2 linked regions of the Zea mays genome follow. The main gene of each other region encodes a partner of the protein of the gene in region 2 in a complex. Links are inferred from orthologs where the notes say so. Each region holds a gene or a part of one and is shown on either strand. Other genes may lie near its edges.

Evidence for each region. The genes of interacting proteins can lie anywhere in the genome.
Region 1: mediator of RNA polymerase II transcription subunit 8 (region 2) and uncharacterized protein LOC100276155 share a complex: the UniProt entries of both Arabidopsis thaliana proteins name them as parts of the mediator complex. The link is inferred for Zea mays from reciprocal best matches to the Arabidopsis thaliana genes MED8 and MED9.

Annotation. Positions count from the first base shown.
Region 1 is NC_050097.1:1,835,544-1,845,834, reverse strand, and holds uncharacterized protein LOC100276155, read left to right. Parts: upstream 1-5,506; 5' UTR 5,507-5,671; intron 5,672-5,822; 5' UTR 5,823-5,857; coding exon 5,858-6,118; intron 6,119-6,751; coding exon 6,752-6,814; intron 6,815-7,289; coding exon 7,290-7,370; intron 7,371-8,683; coding exon 8,684-8,742; intron 8,743-9,042; coding exon 9,043-9,103; 3' UTR 9,104-9,375; downstream 9,376-10,291. UniProt on the Arabidopsis thaliana protein: Component of the Mediator complex, a coactivator involved in the regulated transcription of nearly all RNA polymerase II-dependent genes.
Region 2 is NC_050102.1:151,797,306-151,807,596, reverse strand, and holds the start of mediator of RNA polymerase II transcription subunit 8, read left to right. Parts: upstream 1-3,749; 5' UTR 3,750-3,883; coding exon 3,884-4,122; intron 4,123-4,275; coding exon 4,276-4,400; intron 4,401-5,382; coding exon 5,383-5,507; intron 5,508-5,609; coding exon 5,610-5,793; intron 5,794-5,925; coding exon 5,926-6,030; intron 6,031-6,347; coding exon 6,348-6,415; intron 6,416-6,652; coding exon 6,653-6,898; intron 6,899-10,291. UniProt on the Arabidopsis thaliana protein: Component of the Mediator complex, a coactivator involved in the regulated transcription of nearly all RNA polymerase II-dependent genes.

The DNA of each region.
Region 1 (10,291 bases), on a different chromosome or scaffold from region 2:
TGTGGCAAAAGGTTATGCCCAAGTCGCAGGTTTGGACTTTGAGGAGACTTTTGCTCCTGTGGCTAGGCTAGAGTCAATTCGCATCTTGCTAGCATATGCCGCTCACCATTCTTTCAGGTTGTACCAAATGGATGTGAAGAGCGCTTTCCTCAACGGGCCGATCAAGGAAGAGGTGTACGTGGAGCAACCCCCTGGCTTCGAGGATGAACGGTACCCCGACCATGTGTGTAAGCTCTCTAAGGCGCTCTATGGACTTAAGCAAGCCCCAAGAGCATGGTATGAATGCCTTAGAGACTTTTTAATTGCTAATGCTTTCAAGGTTGGGAAAGCCGATCCAACTCTTTTTACTAAGACTTGCGATGGTGATCTTTTTGTGTGCCAAATTTATGTCGATGACATAATATTTGGTTCTACTAACCAAAAGTCTTGTGAAGAGTTTAGCAGGGTGATGACGCAGAAATTCGAGATGTCGATGATGGGCGAGTTGAACTACTTCCTTGGGTTCCAAGTGAAGCAACTCAAGGACGACACCTTCATCTCCCAAACGAAGTACACGCAAGATTTGCTAAAGAGGTTTGGGATGAAGGACGCCAAGCCCGCAAAAACGCCTATGGGAACCGACGGACACACCGACCTCAACAAAGGAGGTAAGTCCGTTGATCAAAAAGCATACCGGTCCATGATAGGTTCTTTGCTTTATTTATGTGCTAGTAGACCGGATATTATGCTTAGCGTATGCATGTGTGCTAGATTTCAATCCGATCCTAAGGAGTGTCACTTAGTGGCTGTGAAGCGAATTCTTAGATATTTAGTCGCTACGCCTTGCTTCGGGATCTGGTATCCAAAGGGGTCTAACTTTGACTTGATTGGGTACTCGGATTTCGACTATGCTGGATGTAAGGTCGATAGGAAGAGTACATCGGGGACGTGCCAATTCTTAGGAAGGTCCCTGGTGTCATGGAACTCTAAGAAGCAAACCTCCGTTGCCCTATCCACCGCTGAGGCCGAGTACGTTGCTGCAGGACAGTGTTGTGCGCAACTACTTTGGATGAGGCAAACCCTCAGGGACTTTGGCTACAATCTGAGCAAAGTCCCACTCCTATGTGACAATGAGAGTGCTATCCGAATAGCGGAAAATCCTGTTGAGCACAGCCGCACAAAGCACATTGACATCCGGCATCACTTTTTGAGAGACCACCAGCAAAAGGGGGATATCGAAGTGTTTCATGTTAGCACCGAGAACCAGCTAGCCGATATCTTTACCAAGCCTCTAGCTGAGAAGACCTTTTGCAGGCTGCGTAGTGAGCTCAATATCTTAGATCCGCGGAACTTGGATTGAAATGTAGCATACATGTGTTTATGTCTTTGATCATGTTCATTCTGCATTTTGTTGCTTATTGTGGTGCTCAAGTTGTATAAACACTCCCTGGACCTCACAAGTCCTGTTTGCAAGTGATGCACATATTTAGGGGGAGCTGTGCTACAACTTGACCCTTTGAGACTAACCATGTACTTGAGTTTGGTTGTTTTAGTCTCCAAGGAGAATTGAAAGGGAAAAGGTGGACTTGGACCATGCAAGACTTCCACTGCACTCCGATGAAAAGAGTAACTTTTCCAAGTTCATCTTTATACTCTTATTGCCTTTGTGTTCTTATTTGAAGATTTTGGTGAGGCAATGGGGTTAAAGGGCCAAGATTGATCCCGTTTTGGTGCTTGATGCCAAAGGGGGAGAAAATAAAGGCCAAAACGATAAATGGATCAGCTACCACTTGAGAGATTTTGAAAATAGTAGAATAGAGTTTTTGGTTTGTCAAAACTCTTTTGTTGTCTCTTGTCAAAAGTTGGCTTCTTGTGGGGAGAAGTATTGATTATGAAAAAAGGGGGAGTTTTTGAAATCTTGAATCATTTTCTCTTGGAATGACTCTCTTTATGTCTTAACATGTGTGTTTGACTTAGAGATAGAAATTTGAGTTTGATTTGTAAAAACAAACCAAGTGGTGGCATAAAGTGATCCATATATGTCTAAATTGAATCAAAACAATTCTGAGTCCTTATTTGATTTTGATTTTGTACTTGTTCTACTTGCTTTATGTTGTGTTGGCATAAATCACCAAAAAGGGGGAGATTGAAAGGGAAATGTGTCATTGGGCCATTTCTAAGTGTTTTGGTGATTTAGTGTCCAACACAAGTGCCTAAGTGTAAAAAGGTGGACAAAGTACAAATCAAGGATAAAGGTATGTTTCTCAGACTTAGTACATTGTTTTATGAACTAATGTATTGTGTCTAAGTGCTGGAAACAGGAGAAATCCAATTGGAAATGTCTTGGCCCGAGCAGCCAAGAATCTGCTGAGTCTGGGAGCACCGGACTGTCCGGTGGTGCACCGGACAGTGTCCGGTGGTGCACCGGACAGTGTCCGGTGTGCCAGGCTGGTTCGAGCGAACTGGCCGCTCTCGGGAATTCACCGGCGACGTACGGCTAAAATTCACCGGATTGTCCGGTGTGCACCGGACTGTCCGGTGAGCCAACGGTCGGCCGGGCCAACGGTCGGCCGCGCAATCTGCGCGGGACACGTGGCCGAGCCAACGGCTAGAAGATGGCACCGGACTGTCCGGTGCGCCAACGACTCTTAGGCCGCCAACGGTCGGCTTCGCTATTTAAGGAAGGAAATCGGGCACCAGACAGTGTCCGGTGTGCACCGGACTGTCCGGTGCACCCGACGACAGAAGGCAAGAATGGCCTTCCAGATTTGCGCTCAACGGCTCCTAGCTGCCTTGGGGCTATAAAAGGGACCCCTAGGCGCATGGAGGAGAATACCAAGCATCCTTTGAGCATTATTGATCACTCACACTTCATTCTTGCGCACTTGTTCGACATTCTAGTGATTTGAGCTCCGTTCTAGTGTGCTAGTCTCTTGAGCTCAAGTCTGGGTTTTGTGTGTGCGTATTCGCTGTGATCTTTGCGTCGTGTGTGAGTTGCTAATCCCTCCCTTGCTCCGTGATTCTTTGTGAACATCTTTTGTAAGGGCGAGAGGCTCCAAGCTGTGGAGATTCCTCGCAAGCGGGATTAAGAAAAGCAAAGCAACACCATGGTATTCAAGTTGGTCTTTGGACCGCTTGAGAGGGGTTGATTGCAACCCTCGTCCGTTGGGACGCCACAACGTGGAGTAGGCAAACGTTGGTCTTGGCCGAACCACGGGATAACCACTATGCCATCTCTGTGATTGATATCTCTTGGTTATTGTGTTGTGTTGAGATCCTTCTCTAGCCACTTGGCAAATTACTGTGCTAACAATTAACCAAGTTTTGTGGCTTAAGTTTTTGAAGTTCTACAGGATCACCTATTCACCCCCCTCTAGGTGCTCTCAGGGGGGCCTTGGGCGAGACGGAAATCCTCCGGGGTCGGCTGCCCTTGTCTGAGGCTAGGCTCGGACGAGGCGTGATCGAGTCCCTCGAATGGACTGATCCCTGACTTAATCGCACCCATCAGGCCTTTGCAGCTTTGTGCTGATGGGGGTTACCAGCTGAGAATTAGGAGCCTTGAGGGTACCCCTAATTATGGTCCCCGACAATCTTCTTAATGTATTCTTTTGAGGTGTTTCTTTCCTCAGTTCCTTTGTCCAAGTAATTCTAGCATCTTGTGAACTACAAGCATAAACACTAGGAAACTCATTAGTTCACATATTGTGTTAATCATCAAACACCAAAACTCAATTAGCCAAATGGCCCGGATCCATTTTCCTTACAATCTCTCCTTGTTGGTGATTGATGACAACACAACCAAAGCAAGCAAATGATACAAGTATTTGAATGAAAGTATGCAATCTACTTGCTAGGATGCATGTTTGTCCCCTCAATGTGAGATTATGGACTTAAGCCTCCCCTAACTCCATAATTCACTTACTTCCTATTTTTGGACCAAATAACCAAAACCACTTGAAAAGCCACTTGTAGATTTTAAAATTTTAAATTGGTGGTGTTTGATGTTTGATACATTGTTCATTGCTTTGGTCCCTAAACTTCTCCCCCTTTGGTATCAACCACCGAAAAAAGAAGATATTAAAAGCATGTAGGAAGTAAATAATACTTGCCCTCATAAAGAATTTTGTCAATTGATACCAATTGCAGAATTTTGCCCTCATGTAAACTTGCCCTCATGTAAGAATTTTGCCCTCATAACGATCACGCGTCACCTAGTGTGTGTAGGCATATACTTTGTATGGCGCATTGTGCTGCCTTCCCCGGTATACGGGTCACTGTAGAGGCTCCAGTGCTGAGGTTTTTTCTATGACTGGGTTGACTGACCCCACATGGCAGTGGGGATACGCCTTAGAGCGTACGTGGTGGCGTTCAGTCGTGTCGATAGTGACCTCCTGGCGCCCCTTCGGTACGTTGCACATATGTCCGGACGTGGGTTGATGATGACGCGTCTTGTCGTAGCCATCACGGGTTAATAGCGTTAGGTTGGGACCTCCGCCTCGTATGGTTGCCCAATTTGGAGTTGGTCGACCGCTCCTCCTCAAAGGGTTGCTCAGTGGGGAGTTGGTCGGCTGCTCTGCTTTGCGAGGTTGCTCGTCGATGAGTTGGTCAGCCGCTCTGCCTCTCGACGAGGAATTGGTCGTTCGCTCCATCTTGCAAACTTGCTCGACGGAGGACTTGGTCGTCCGCTCCGCCTCGTAGGCTTGCTTGGCAGAGGGTTGGTCGGCTAATGGGCCGGAAGGAGGTTGTGGGCTTACTTTTGGTTACCCTGTTCCTAGGTACATGACAATTTACATAGTAGAGTTCTATTTGGTAGAGCTCTTTTAATGGCCCCTCAACAGCTTCTTCAAAAAGGCTACCAAATGGTGGGCTCCTCTCGTGGCTTCTCCATAAAAATAGGAAGGAGATGTCCCTAAAAACCGAGGAAAGCCCAGAGCCTAAAAAGGAGGCTTCTCTGACTCGACTCTCTCTTGTCACTCACCCTCCCATGAAAATAGGAGTAGTTGTGTTTTAACTAAATAGAGTGTTCTCCAAGGGTTACTAAAAATAAGGATCAAACTATTTTTTTCAGATGAGCCAGAAGGAAAGCCGGTGATGCAAAAATCCTACCAAAAGGGAGCCTCAGAAGAGTCAACCCACTTTATAATAGTACACATATTCAAGTTTTAAAATTATATATAACCTTAAAAATCATCTATATATTTTGAGCTTTTAAAGTGGGCTAACACGAACCCTACTAGATGTTAGTGTCGGCATGACATGATTAGACACTATAGTGCCGTGTCTAGACAATAGTACTAACACATCACGACACATTTACTAATAGTGTCTAATAACACCATTAATGCTGGACAGACAATCTATTTAGCCATCTATAGATGAATAAGGTTAAAAAACACTATCTATCTCCTCTCGTATCTAATATCTATCCACTATTTCAACTCCAACGCTACAAACAAAGGTATGACTATCGTACAACAACAGTTCTTTAGACGGCCATATCAGCTGGACACAGCCACCGTACTCCGAGATTAGCGCCCCCGTCGGCCAAACAGTACCGGACTGGCCGCCGTTCACAGTTCACGCCCCGCGTGGTCCCTATTTCCCGGCGAGCACTAGGCTACCGCCGCCGCCGTCAGGTGCCGGTGCCCAGACCTTCGTCGTGCCCATTTCACCGGCGACGAGCACCCACTAGGTATGCCCGTCCCTCCTCTCCCCTATCTGCTTTGCGAAACCGAGCACTCAAAACCTAGCTTAAGAATCGGATCTGATTCAGGAGTAATTGCAAGTATATGCATGTATTATTATGCCTACTAAATTACTAATAACTTCGATTTTTCCAATAGCCCCTGCCCGCAGGTGTTGGGAACTGGGGATAGAGATGGATCACCACCACCCGCAGCAGCAGCAGCAGCAGTACGGCGATCCTTACCGTGGGCTCATGACGTCCCCGCAGCCCGACCACCACCTCCACGCTCTTCAGTACCATCAGCCGCAGCCGCAGCAACAGCCGGCGCTTATGTCTCCACCGCAGCCACAGCCAGCACTGATGTCTCCACAGCCGCAGCAGACACTGATGTCTCCACCGCAGCCGCAGCAGCATCACCACGCCTCTCTTGCCTCCCACTTCCACCTCCTACATGTAAGTAACGGAGTGTTTGGAGTTGTGTGGAGTTTTGTGTTTTGGGGGCCTTTGCTCTTAGTTTAAGATAGCATAGATGATACATACCCTCAAATGAACCCTTCTTTTTGTAGTGATGTCATTGATGTTGTTGGAGTGTGCCCTTTGTGCACCGGAATTTCAAAATTCTGAACTTGGGATTTTGCTAGTCATTAAAGATTGTCATTAATTTGTCCTGTATTTGTTGCTCAGCGATTGCAATTTCTTCACACCATGATTTGTCACTTTGGCCGGTAGTGAAGATTGCCATATTATAGGTGTACATGAACGATATACAAGCGTCAGAGCGTGCAACATTGGTAATGGCCAGAGAAAATGTTGATTCTAATCACTCGAGTTGGTTTGACAAGAAATACATAAATTAAAAATATATATGAGGGCACTTTAGGTATTGTAGGTTTTCTTAAGCTGGCAATCACATGTCTGTATTGGCATCTAACATTTAGGCTTATTTCCAATGGCTTTTTTGCAAGTAGCAAATCTTTGTTTCCACTTTTATGATGGCTCTTCTTCCTTTTACTCTTTGAGAAAGTACTAGAATGTATTGTGAAATACTGATAGTTTTCTTCTTTGCATAATTTTGTTCTCTGTTAGTTGGTTACAAGATTAGCCGATGCTATTGGTACAGGAACAAGGGACCAAAATTTCGATGCACTGGTAAGAATCACCATTTACTAATTTTCATTTGTTTTATGGATCAATGTTCTTGTACTCATAGTGCATGATCTTGTCAGAAACAATAGTTGTAGCTTCTTCTAGGCGTGGAGCCTGAATATTCTTATACAGAGTTTGAATTGACATGTGATGTAATTCTTAAATCACTTCCCAGAGAAGAGACAGGTCACAAACAATGCTCTAGTGTTGGTGGTGCACAGGAAGCTTGGGACCAGCCCAGGGTGACAGGGTCTGCACGGTTCAGTTTTCCATAGCCAAAACCAAGCCAGTGGAAGACATACCCTTAGTTATGCAATTATGCAATTGCAGAAGCATGTTAAAATTACTACTATGTATTGTGTACTTCCATGCTGATTTCTTATAGAATACCAGCTAAACACCATATTTTTCCCAGCGTTTTGCTAAATCCTAATTCCAATAGCTACTGTATTAAGAGAAGCTTTTTATATATATCTAGGTTGAAGAATTGACCAGCCAGTTTGCTAGGTGCCAACAATTGTTGAACTCCATATCGGGAACAATAAGCTCAAAGTCTACTGTAAGTTCTGTTACTTCTCTTTCCTGACTCATATGCTTTATTCTTAGTGGTCTTCTGAATTTGATAATAATTACTAAGTTAAATTGAACTATTCTGGCTAATGAATCTCAATTACTTTGTTTTGGTATCCAATAAAATTTTCAATTGCACAAGAATTAAGAATTTTTTCCAGAAATGGATAATAAGACGGGGTATAGTAGATCTGTTGCAGGTTTTTGTGTTGTCTCATAAAATGTCTATAAATATTCATGTCTCTAGGCAAATCCTTTTAAAAAGTTAATTCACATTTATTTAAACATCAACAGGAGCATTGCCATATTATATAGAAGGCATGGGACTAAAAGGCTTTCTTTGGGACTGCCCCAACTTGATTGGAGCTAAAAGGCTTTGTTGTTGCCAGAAGCACTAGCATATCATATAAGAACTCAAATGTGCACGGTGCACACATGTTGTCCTCATGCTCAAACACGGATGAGGCTGCCCAAGCAGTCTTGGAACGTGCCTACTGAGCAACTCACACACATAGAGGCTTAGTCCCCTCTGATGAAAATCCCGTGTGACACCTGAGTCGCCCCAGTCAGGGATCAAACTCGGGTAGTAGCGCTCGCACGGTCGCACCGAGCGGCCTTAGTGCCTTACCACTGACTTACTGAGCCATTGTTTTGTTTTCTAATTCACAATTATTAGTTGTTAAGAGTGTCTAAAGTTTGGCTAGTTTTGGCAGTTTTTACTGCTGGGTTACTAGTACGTAATAACTGATGTTACTAGCCAGTAGGGACTGTCGGTTTAGTGGAGACCGGCATGAGCTGCCTTCCTTAAAAAGCCCTAGTTTTCCAGTTGATACCGGTGTCAGTGCTGTCATTACGATCTACAATATTTAGAACCATTTTAATAGACCTAATATTGCTAATTTTATATGTTGTATGGTGCTGGTTATTTTGTGAATTTCAAAGAAATTGGTGGAATATTGCTCGATCAGCACCATTGGTGATTGCCTGGTTTACCCAGTACCAGCTGCAATACATTAAATATTGGAAACATGTTTTTATAGCATGATTGCTGTTGATGACCATTTTAAATAAGTTAGTCAACAATGTGTATTAATGTGTTGACCTTTTCTTTTGTAATTTGTTTTGGATTAATGCATTATATGTAACAAATGTGCATATGCATTATGAATCTCACCCAAAAACTAGATGTATGTTGAGTTGCAACGTAATTGTAGTCCTGTCTTAAACATGTAAGAACCAGAACCAGTTATTGATGCTTGAAGTTTCAGTACTCATGGTAATTGCTGTATTTGTTACCAACAGACGGTTGAGGGACAAAGGCAGAGTTTGGACGAAACACGGCAGCTGCTTGATCAAAGAAAGTAAGTTCCGCTGTCTGCCTATATATTTTAGAAAACTACGTGTGTGTTGTCTTAGCGGCAAAAGGGAAAAAGATTGTTTCGTAGCTTGTGCCCCGTATAACCCAGGATGTATGGCCATGGTTTTCGAAAGATACCTTTAGAAATCCCAACCTAAGTTGGTCCAACCAGAAGTGATTGATGACCAACCCTTCAACAGTAAGGGGCCAGCATGACTGCTTCAGTTTGTGGATTTGTACAAGTCACGAGATTTACTCTGCCTTTTAAGTACGTTTAACTTACCAATGTACATCTTTCTGTCAGGGAGTTGATTACAAAGTACAGAGGCTCTGTCGAAGAGCTCCTTAAGGGAGATCAAAGATAAAGAAAGCATCATAAGGCTTAATATTTAAGGATTTATTGTCGTCAATACTTGAACTCTGTTACTTGAATTCGGTGGTATGCATCAATAGAGCCGGAAGATGTTCTGGAGTAAGGACCTGGCAGTGTGATACGGGAATTTGACATCTGAATAGATATTCTCCCTTGTCCCTCTGGTAAAAAAAACTGTTGTCACATTTGCCTTCGCTGTGACTTGGATGTATCATGTATATCTTTGACCATTGATATCTTGGTTAATCAGACGGTGCATTACAATCCTGGCCTCATTCATATACCACGATTGGTTTGCATAAGTAGTACCCCTCCGTTTCAAATTATGTCGTATTTTGATTTTTTTAGATACACTTTTTATATAATTTTCTATTTTAAATTAGGTGTTTTATGTAATATGTATCTAAGTGTATAATAAAATATATGTATCTAAAAGCTGTAATTTAGTATAAATTAGAATGGTGTATATCTTCAATGTATGACAAATAATTTGAAATGGAGGAGGGTATGAAAAGCCAAAACCTCCTAGAATATGGAATGGAGGGAATACATACAAATTCTTTGCTTCAGTTAAAAGAAACGAGAAAAGGAGGGGAATGGGGAATCGTACTTCAGTTTTTACGAGTTTCCAACAAACATGTATGCACGTCTTCCCTTGGTTGATGCATCTTTTTGGCAAATCTTCGTTTAATTGCGGCTTCTTTTTTATACCGTTCGAAGGTTTTCGTCGTCAATGCTGAAACTCCACTTTCACCACCTTCGGTTGCATCTGCTTGCTTTCAATTCACCTCTAATTAGTCCAAGTGTTTCATTGGACGAAGGTCCAAGTCCTTCAGATCATCTCAATTTTCTTTGATCTGAAACAACAATTTAAAATTGATTTTGTTACCTTGACTTGTCGAAGGCCTTCGAACGAACGGTACTGTAAAAATACGGTAGCTCAGATTTGTGATTTCAATTCGATTCGGGTCTCCTGGCTGGATGAAACCGATGCGAGAGAAGAAAAAAAAATTGTTGCATGTAGTTGGCGCCTGTCACCCAACCAAACCAGTAGTTGAGGCACGCCCTGTTTGCTCACGATCACGAACGTACAGCACTATAAAACACGCAGGGACTGGAAAGCGAGATTTCACAGCTGAAAGCAGCCAAAACGCAGAAGCTGCACTGCATACATCGAGCT
Region 2 (10,291 bases):
GAGAGGGCAAAAACAAATCAACCAAAGAAATAGAGCGAATGACACAGTGATTTGTTTTACCGAGGTTCGGTTCTTGCAAACCTACTCCCCGTTGAAGTGGTCACAAAGACCGGGTCTCTTTCAACCCTTTCCCTCTCTCAAACGGTCACCTAGACCGAGTGAGCTTTTCTCCTTAATCAACGGGACACTTAGACCTCTTACAAGGACCACCACAACTTGGTGTCTCTTGCTTGATTACAAGTTGCTTGAGAACAAGAATGGGGAAGAAGAAAAGCGATCCAAGAACAAGAGCTCAAAGAACACGAGCAAAACTCTCTCTCTAGTCACTATTTGCTTGGAGTGGATTTGGGACTTGGAGAGGCTTTGATTCTATTGAATTTGTGTCTTGTATTGATTGCACTAGCTCTTGTATTGAATGTGAAGTCTGAAAACTTGGATGCCTTGAAGTGGTGGTGGTTGGGGGTATTTATAGCCCCAACCACCAAACCAACCGTTGGGGTTGAGCTGCTGTCGATGGGCGCACCGGACAGTCCGGTGCGCCACCGGACACTGTCCGGTGCGCTAGCCACGTCACCCAACTGTTAGGTTTTGACCGTTGGAGCTCTGACAGCCTGGGCCACCGGACAGTCACTGTTCACTGTCCGGTGCGCCTTCTGGCGCTGCTCTGACTCTGAGCGCACTGTCCGCGCATAGTGCACCTGTCAGCCGACCGTTGAAGTCGACCGTTGCACTTGGAAGCCGTTGCTCCGTTGGCACACCGGACAGTCCGATGAATTATAATAGAGTGGCTTTTCCAGAAACCCGAAGGTGGCGAGTTGGAGTTGATCCACCCTGGTGCACCGGACACTGTCCGGCGGCACACCGGACAGTCCGGTGCGCCAGACCAAGGTTCTCTTCGATTTCTTTTGCTCCTTTCTTTTGAACCCTAACTTGGACCTTTTTATTGGTTTGTGTTGAACCTTTGGCACCTGTAGAACTTATAATCTAGAGCAAACTAGTTAGTCCAATTATTTGTGTTGGGCAATTCAACCACCAAAATCATTTAGGAAAAAGGTTTGACCCTATTTCCCTTTCAGTGTCGGACTGGCCACGAGCCCGAAAACAAAAAAACACTTTCACAGTTCAGATTAACATACATGCCAACCAAAATACAAAAATCAACACAACTCCATATCACAAATATATTACAAGTGCATATCATAATTACAAGTCCAGTTTGACAGATTCCAAAGCATAAAATTACAAGTTCGGAATCCATAGCACAATATTACAGATAAAAGAGCACAAACTTCATCACTATATACTTAATTATGTTTCGAGCTGTGGTGCAATGATGCCTTGTTAGAAACCTTTATATGTAAAAACTCACATCTCGTGATAAAATCCTAGAAAGGAAAATAGAGAACAACCAACTCCAAATTAAAGTATTAATGTTCATTACAGTCCACACTACACACTACACAAAAAAGTTACAGTCCAGAGTCCAAACACTCATTCGTGATTTTTGACTTTCATCTTCAAGAACCATGCTTTCATGGATAACTTCCATCTCTTTGGTATCCTTCTCCACATTCTGCTGCATATGTGAGCCTGCTAATTCCCAATCCTTTATGCATGACAAAATATCCACCATATCACTTATGAGTCGGCGTCAACGTTCCTCAATCACTCTACCAACCAGACTAAAAGTTGATTCAGAAGATATAGTGGAAGTAGGAATAATCATGACATCTTTAGCAATGAGATAAAGAATATGATAGGTAAGCTTGTGTTCATGCCACCAACTCAAGATGTTGAAGTCTTCATTGAACCTGGAGACAATGTCATCGTCCATATATGAAGATAACTTTGAGATAGAGGCTACATTTGCAAAAGTAGCAGATGAGGGACCAATACTAACCGATCCAGATCCTCCTCTTACAGCACATCACTCAAAATCAAAATCATCATCACCATAGATGTCATCCCAAACCACTTTGTTTCTACCCTCATTAGCATGGCACATTTGGTGTTGTGCTCGCAAGCGTACACCACCAAACTTTGATTCATACAACTAAACAATATTTGTTAACTGAGACCTTACCATAGAGTATTTGTTAACTGAGACCTTACCTTTTGTTTCTACCCTAGAGTTCAATACGTGCAACAGAAGGAGAATACTCCCAATGTTTCAAGGACCCATTAGAATTATACTTAAGCACAGATCAAACTATACAAGCGCACTGTTGTTCTTTCTTAGCTAAGCAATTATGACGAAGCAAGTGACCAGTTCCAGAACTAGATTTACCACTTAAAGTCACCTTGCAGTACTTACAAATGGCTCCATACCATACCATCTTACCATTGACAAGGTGAGTCGGTTCATCAAAGTCATGCCACACTTTAGATCTGAGAGGACACTTACTGGAACTGGTGGCGGCGGTGCTTGTGCCGGTCGGTGTCGGGCTCGTGGATCCTGTGCCCGCTTGACCACCGGTGGCGGCACCAGGGACATCATCATCATTATCGATGTTGATGGCAACACTACTGCCAAATAGGATCCGGGCATCCTCTGCTTTGTTATGATATTCTAGCCGGTGCTCCTCGTCCACAACGGTCGGATGAAGGTCATCGTCCATGCCGTAGACAGATGGCTCCTCGCCGACGACTGGGGTCCCTGGACAGCTACGTGGCACCGACACAAGCGATACCTAGGAGATTCATCACATCCATGGGATTCCAATCAAGATCTAATACACAAGAGAAGGGGATGGAGATTAGGGTTCAGGACATAACCTGCGCAGCCGGAGCACCTTAGTCGCCTTGAGAGCACCACCGCGAGGAGGAACACCTCTGCTAAGAGGATGTCAGGAGCCGAGGATGGGGATTACTCTATTGGGATTCGGGTGTGAGGAAGGGAAGATGATGAGCGAAGAGATGAGGAGAGTATAGATGTCCAAACAAGCCGTCGCTGGTAGCCGTCACCAGTAGCCGTCGGCGGGAGAGGCGAGATTTCGTCGGTCACCAAGGAGCAAGAGGTAGGAGCCACGGGAGAAGGGGAGGGGATTAGGTTTAGGGTTTCGAGCGAGCGAATGCCGGGGGGGTGCGTCATGGGGCAGGGCCGATGTGTGTTATGCGGCGTGGAACGGACAGACGCCGTGTCTGGCTCATTTTCGTGCTGGGTCGGGCCGAGCACGACGTGCCGGCCTCAAAGCCCAAGCACGACACGTCCACCGTGCCGGGCTGTCCCGAGCTCGATGCGCAGCGAGCCGTGCCGGGTTGGTACCAGGCTTCGGATAAATTTGGCTGTCCGGCCAATATAGACATCTATACCTGTTAAACTGCTAAACAAACTTAGCATCATCAGGCATCGGCTACACTATCATTGTAAAGTCCGTTTGCTTGTAGGTTGGCTTTAATTAGCCCCAGCTCCTCTGTGTGAACTAGGAGGCGTACGTGCCATCAAATTCTGTAAAGTTTGAAGCATGCTGCAGGCAGTATACTCGTGAGGATGACACAAAAAACACATATTTAGTGATACCAATTTAATGGTGTAAATACCACCGTCTCTTTTTGTATAAGTATATTAACTCTAAGTTTAGTTAAATAAAAAATAGTTTAATATATGACGACTCTGTATGCTCATCTCATCTAGGTATACATTTTGTTAGGACTTCTCCAAATTTTGAACTCTGCATTATGAACTTTTGGATTCTGGACACATGTTTTGTCGAGTGCAGAGAATTGACTTGACTGTCCCCCGGCCCTCACATGTCAGTCTGAGCCAGACACGCAAACTGGTGGTACCGCCATAACGATCTGAAAACATCCTCCATTAGTCCGCCTCCGGCCACCCCCTTTCATTCCGCCGCAACGCCACCGCCCCCAACGCAAGTTTCCGGCGATGGACCCCGCGGCGGCCGCGCTAGGTGCAGTACCCGCCGCTGGCGCGCCACCTCCGGGCGCAGCCGCAGGGGACCAGCAGGCAGCTCCCCGGGTTGAGCGGCTCAGCGCGGGGGTGCAGCAGCAGTTGAACCTGGAGGGGATGCGCGCGCGCGCGGTGGGGCTGTACAAGGCCATCTCCCGCATCCTCGAGGACTTTGACGTCATCATACGCACCAATCCCAGCGCCTCCCCCAAGTGGTAACTTCATCCCCAGCCCCGCCCCTCTTATTGGCTATCGGCTGATGGCTGGCAGCAGTGGATTCTAGGGTTTAATTAGGATGCCTCTGCTCGTGTGGCGTCGCTGCGCGATTGCTTACTGGTATGGTATGGCTGCCTCTGGGTGAATTGCAGGCAGGACGTGCTCGGGCAGTTCTCGATGGTGAGCATGGAGCTCTTCAACATTGTGGAGGACATTAAGAATGTGTCCAAGGTGTTTGTCGTGTACCCCCGGAATGTCAATGCCGAGAATGCAACAAGTATGCCGTTCTGAGTTTTTTCCCCTTTATGGATATGCATATATCTTTTGTTATCTGTGTCAATTTGGTTATCACGTAATGGTATTTGTTTTCTTAGAAATCATAATTAATATTTAGTTGATCTAACATAGGGGAGTTTAACATCTGTTGGTTATGTTCTAGTTGCATGGTTTACTGATTCAGTCATGAAATAAATCATCTCCAGTTCAGGGACAACAATTTCCAAAGACATTAAGAGTTCTTTGCCCTTGTTTGTAAAAGTTTGGTTGGTTCAATCAAGACATGAACAACAACCTCTCTGAAAGATTATCAATGGAAGCATGTAATTTGGGAAGAAATTATCTGATATGAAAATTTGCTCAGTTTATGTGTTGAAGTTTTGCTATGTAACCAACTGTATTGAGTCCAAAGGAATCCATCAAACATTTTCCCTTATTTGACCCAACACTAAATAGTCTTTCGTTGTTCATGGTCCAGTATTGGTGAACACCTAATGAGATTATGATTTTCAACACATGATGAGATTATACGATTCATTTATGCTTCCATATATTTTTAGAAAAAAACCCTATGATTTTGTTTCTAAAGTAAGGATGAATGATGACTACAAGTATGACCAGTTGGGCTAATACTTTGCTGTGCCGTTTCTTTGGGGTCTTCTCACAAGTTTTATTACACATGAAGATTCAATCTAAGATTTTTCTTACTGTCAACTGATGTTTATTTCCAGTTGTCCACTAATCAAAATTCTGAATTAGGTTTCAGACTTTTGAAGTTTTCTACTAGCCATGGCCTTAATTTCATGGCAAGCTATTCTGAGATAAATAAACACAGTGCAAATGACCCAACAAAAATGTATTGGAAATGGTCATTCTAATTGTTCTGATGCATTGTCATCTAGTGTTCCCATTTTGCATACTATCAATGGTTTGTACAGTTATTTATTATTAGAGTTGCAGTATAATCCTTATGAATATTGCAGTACTACCTGTAATGCTGTCGTCAAAACTGCTGCCTGAGATGGAAGTTGAGGAAACTACTAAGAGAGAGCAACTATTGTCTGGAATAACTAATCTACCTGTGCCTACACAGATTGAAAAATTAAAGGTGACCAATTTAGTATGAAAAATGAAAACCTATAGCATGTGTTGCTAGCTTGATTTATCGGCTATCTATTAATTAGAATGAACCTGGTACCATCCCTTTCAGGTTAGAATAGACATGATTGGGAGTGCATGCGAAACTGCTGAGAAAGTAATTGCAGAATGCCGTAAGAGCTATGGGCTGGGAAGCCGTCAGGGGACAAATCTTGGTCCTACATTGGACAAAGCACAAGCTGCAAAGATACAGGAGCAGGAAGGCCTACTTAGAGCAGCAGTAAATTATGGTGAAGGTGAAAGGCATAGTGCTTGGTCAATATTAATAAAAAATGCAATTAGATTTCCAAAATAAAGAGTCCTTTTTACTTCTATTTTGTGTTACAATTTCAATACTTATAGCCTTACTAAAATTATCTGAATGCCAGGATTACGGGTACCTGGAGATCAGAGGCATCCACAATCTCTTCCTATCCATCTGATAGAAGTGCTTCCTTTAGGAGACGGTGCACAAAATTTTGGTGATAGTTCTGGTATGTAGATTTTCTTGTGTATCTAAACTCTCTTAATGAACCTCTCCTCGTTTTGAGTTTTAACATCTGTCGATTGTCTCATTTTCATGCGCTATAGACCGAACTCCTATTGTGCTAGGATTAGTGTTTATCCTCAATTGCTAAAATCACGACCATTTGCATTGAGATATGTGCTGTAAAAGTTCCTTATATGTTTAACATTTGCCATATTAATGGGAGATTTGTGCCGTAGAAGTTCCTTGTATGCTTAACTCTTTGGCATTTGCATTGGAGATGTATTTGACAAATGCACATCTAATTTCTATTTGTATTTGCAGGTAGTTATCCCAAAAATATGTCAACATTTGCACCTAATAGTGTCAACAGCCAGGGAAATCAGATTCAGGTTTCTGTTATAACTGAGTTATTATTATGATATTAGAAAGGGTCTATCTTCTATTGTTATCACTCTTTTGAATTGAAAACCTCTTTGGTTCATTCTGTTTTTATGACATCAGTCATCTTCCCATGGTGTTGATAGGATAGCTATTATATATCATAGGGAATGGCAATAACAAAACTCAGATAAATGTTTGATATTTCTGTTTCAGTTTCAAATTTGTTGCCTTCTTACTACTTGCAGGCATCCGGAGGACAGTTACTTGGAAGGCCTGCGCCATCACCTGGAACCACAGGAACCCCTAATTTCGAGAATGTGTCCACTCCTCCAATGCCATATGCTAACTCTCCTAGGTCAGGCACCAATATGATGAATACCCCTTCCCCCCAGCAACATCTAACACCACAACAACAGAGGCAAAAACTGATGCAACATTCTCAACCGCTTCACCAGCCGGTGAGGCCATCAGCTGCTGGGATGCTAGCACAGGTAAAGATAGGTTTACATTTGGGGCTTTGGATGTGTTTTAGTTTTATAGATTTTCTGTAGTATGTGTTTCCCTTCTTGATCCTGTTCTAGTTGGAGAGTGAGAATATGAGAAACCCTAACCCTAATCAGGGTTGGGAGTGTATATGTATAGCTGAGTGTTGTGGGCCAAGGCCCATTACAATAGAGGTATACACATAAACGTAAACAACATTCTAACACCCCCGCAGTCTCAACTCTATTCTGTACAAATGTTGAGACTGGATCGAAACTCGGCGAAAACACTCGACGGTAACCCCTTGGTGAAGATGTTGGCGAACTACAACGTAGTGGGGACGCTGAGAACCTGAACGTCACCGGCAGTGACACGCTCGTGGACGAAATGCAAGTCGATCTCCACGTGCTTCGTGCGCTGATGCTACACGAGATTGGTGGAGAGGTAGACCGCGCTGACGTTGTCGCAGTAGACGAGTGTGGCGCGTTGAAGGGGGCTGTGGAGCTCCTGGAGAAGCTGGCGCAGCCAGGAGGCCTCTGCCACGCCGTTGGCCACAGCGCGGTACTCGGTCCCTGCGCTAGAGCGGGAGACAACGGGCTGCCGCTTGGCGGCCCAGGGGACGAGGTTGGCGCCTAGGAACACGACATAACCGGAAGTGGACCACCATGTATCGGGACAACCAGCCCAGTCAGCGTCGTTGTAGACCACAAGCTCCGACGTCGCAGGGGGGGGGGGGTAGAAGACAGTATTCGAGGGAGCTGCGGAGGTAGCGCAGGATCCGCTTGAGAGCGGTGAGATGGGGCTCCCGCGGGGTGCGCATATGTAGGCACACCTGTTGGAGGATGTAGGCGATGTCGGGCCTGGAGAAGGTCAAGTACTGGAGCGTGCCGGTCAGGCTCTAGTAGGATGTCATGTCGGCGACCGGGGGCCCGTCGTCCTCAGAGAGCTTCGCCTGAGTGTCGACAGGCGTGGAGCAGGGCTTGCAGTAGAACATGCCAGCCCGCTCCAGGATGTCGATGGCGTACTGGCGCTGGTGGAGGAAGAGACCTTGAGGCCAGCGCTTGGCGGTGACGTCGAGGAAGTGGTGAATAGGCCCCAGGTTCTTCATCGCGAACTCTGTGAGCACAATGTCGTCGACGTAGAGCAGAAGGTAGACGGTGTCGTCGCGGCGCTGATAGATGAACAAGGACGTGTCCGACTTGGCCTCGACGAAGCCGATGAAGGCCAAGTAAGAGGCAAAGCGACTGTACCATGCCGTGGCGCTTGCTTGAGGCCATACAAGGAGCGGTTCAGTTGGCAGACTAGATCCGGATGAGCGGCGTCGACGAAGCTGGTGGGCTGGCTATAGTAGATAGTCTCCGTCAGAGTGTTGTGGAGGAATGCATTCTTGATGTCGAGATGATGGATCGCCCAACCCCGGGAGAGGGCGAGAGAGAGAACGGCTCGAACAATGGTGAACTTGACGACAGAGCTAAATGTCTCGTTGTAGTCCACTCCGGGACGCTGGGTGAAGCCTCGAAGCACTCAACTGGCCTTCTAGCCGTCGAGGGAGCCATCCGAGGTCAGCTTGTGGTGAAAAATTCACTTGCCGGTGACCACGTTGGTTCCCGGTGGACGCGACACCAGGTCCCAGGTGTGGTTGGCCAGCAAGGCCGCGTACTCCTCCATAGCGCGACGCCAGTGGGGGTCGACGAGGCTGGTGCGAACGGAGGAGGGGACTAGGGAGGCATCGGTATCCCTTGTGGTTAGGGGAGTAACCGAGGATAAGACAACAAATGGAGGGGGGCTTGTGAGGAGAAGTGGCAGAGGTGTTGGGATAGCAGGCACAACCAAAGACTCAGAGATGAGAATAGGAGGGGGTCATGCCATACAAGGAGAAGTGGGGGGTGGGGTGACTCACCACCTTTGAGGGAAGGCGGTTGAGGAGATTAGTAGCAGTGTTCAGGGCCTCTGCCCAATAGCAGGCGGGAAGAGACGCCTGAAATAGGAGGCAACGGATCATGTTAGTGGTGGTGCGAATAATCCGTTCGGCCCGACGGTTCTGAGGGGAAGTGTACGGGCACAAGAGGCACAATTGAACGCCATGAAAGAGAAAGGTGCGAGAGGCGGAGTTATCGAACTCGCAGCCATTATCGCACTGGAGGGCACGAACCGGGCGACGGAACTGGGTGGAGACGCAGGCGAATAAATGTGTGGAGAACCAGGCGAAGAAATGGGTGAGGGTGTGAAAGGTGTCGGACTTAAGCCGTAGAGGAAAGGTCCAGAGAAAGTGGGAATGGGATAAATCATCCAAGATGACAAGATAGTATTTGTAACCAGAGAGGCTAAGGACGAGAGAGGTCCAGAGATCACAATGAACAAGATCAAAGGCTTGGGCAGCCCTGGACGTGGAAGAGGAAAAAAGGAAGACTAGAGTGACGACCGAGCTGACAAGCATGATAGAGATGCTCAGAGAAACCCCGACGACAGGAGATATCTGAGCGTCTAGAGAGCTGGGACATCACATCTGGTCCAGGGTGCCCGAGGCGACGATGCCAATCGGTGGAGGTGGTGGTAGTAGCAAGAGCATGGGGGGAGGATACGCTGGTGGGGGAAGTGGATGGCAAGTGAATAGAGTAGAGGGGGAAGGAGCTGCCATAACGAGCGAGCACGACATGAGAACGAAGGTGTCGTATGGTGAGCCCCTAGGGATCGAACTCTATAGAATAGCGGTTGTCATCGGTGAAGCAACGAACCGAGAGAAGGGGATGTGAGTCAAATGGGGAGCAACAAGAACGTCGTTAAGGTAGAAGGGTCCCGGGAGAATCGATGCACCTACTGAGGTGATCGGAAGGGTGGCACCATTCCCCACCACGGTAGAGGAAGGATGTGAGGGGTGTGGAGGATGGTAGTGGGATAACGAGCTAGTGGTAGAAGTGGTATGGAAGGAGGCTCTGGAGTCGACCACCCAATCAGTGGGAGAGGGAGGGGGTGGTGAAGGCACGGGGTGCGAGGAGAGAGCCAGGGGAGGTGCCCCTAGAAGGTCACCGGGATGGGGGCTGGAGTCGGGGGCCTTGAACATCAGGGATGCAACAATAGCAGGGGGAAGACAAGCGGGCCAGTGACATGACAGCCTGGCTGAGGGTGGAGGTCGACGCAGTCACGAAGAATAAGGTGCATGGCCCGATCAAAGGCCACAAAGGTGCCCCGAATAATCTGACCATCGTGAAGGGTGACACGCACATCGGTCATGGTGACACCGGGCAAAGGCAGGAAAGAGGTGGCATTGGCGGACAAGGCAAAGGTAGGGCCCCCGGTGGCAGGAGGGACACCATGGAGAACTGGGGTAGTGAGTCGACACGGCGGCGGGGAGGCCGAGAGCCGTAGGAGCAACAGACGGGAGTAGGCCGACCGTGGTGGTG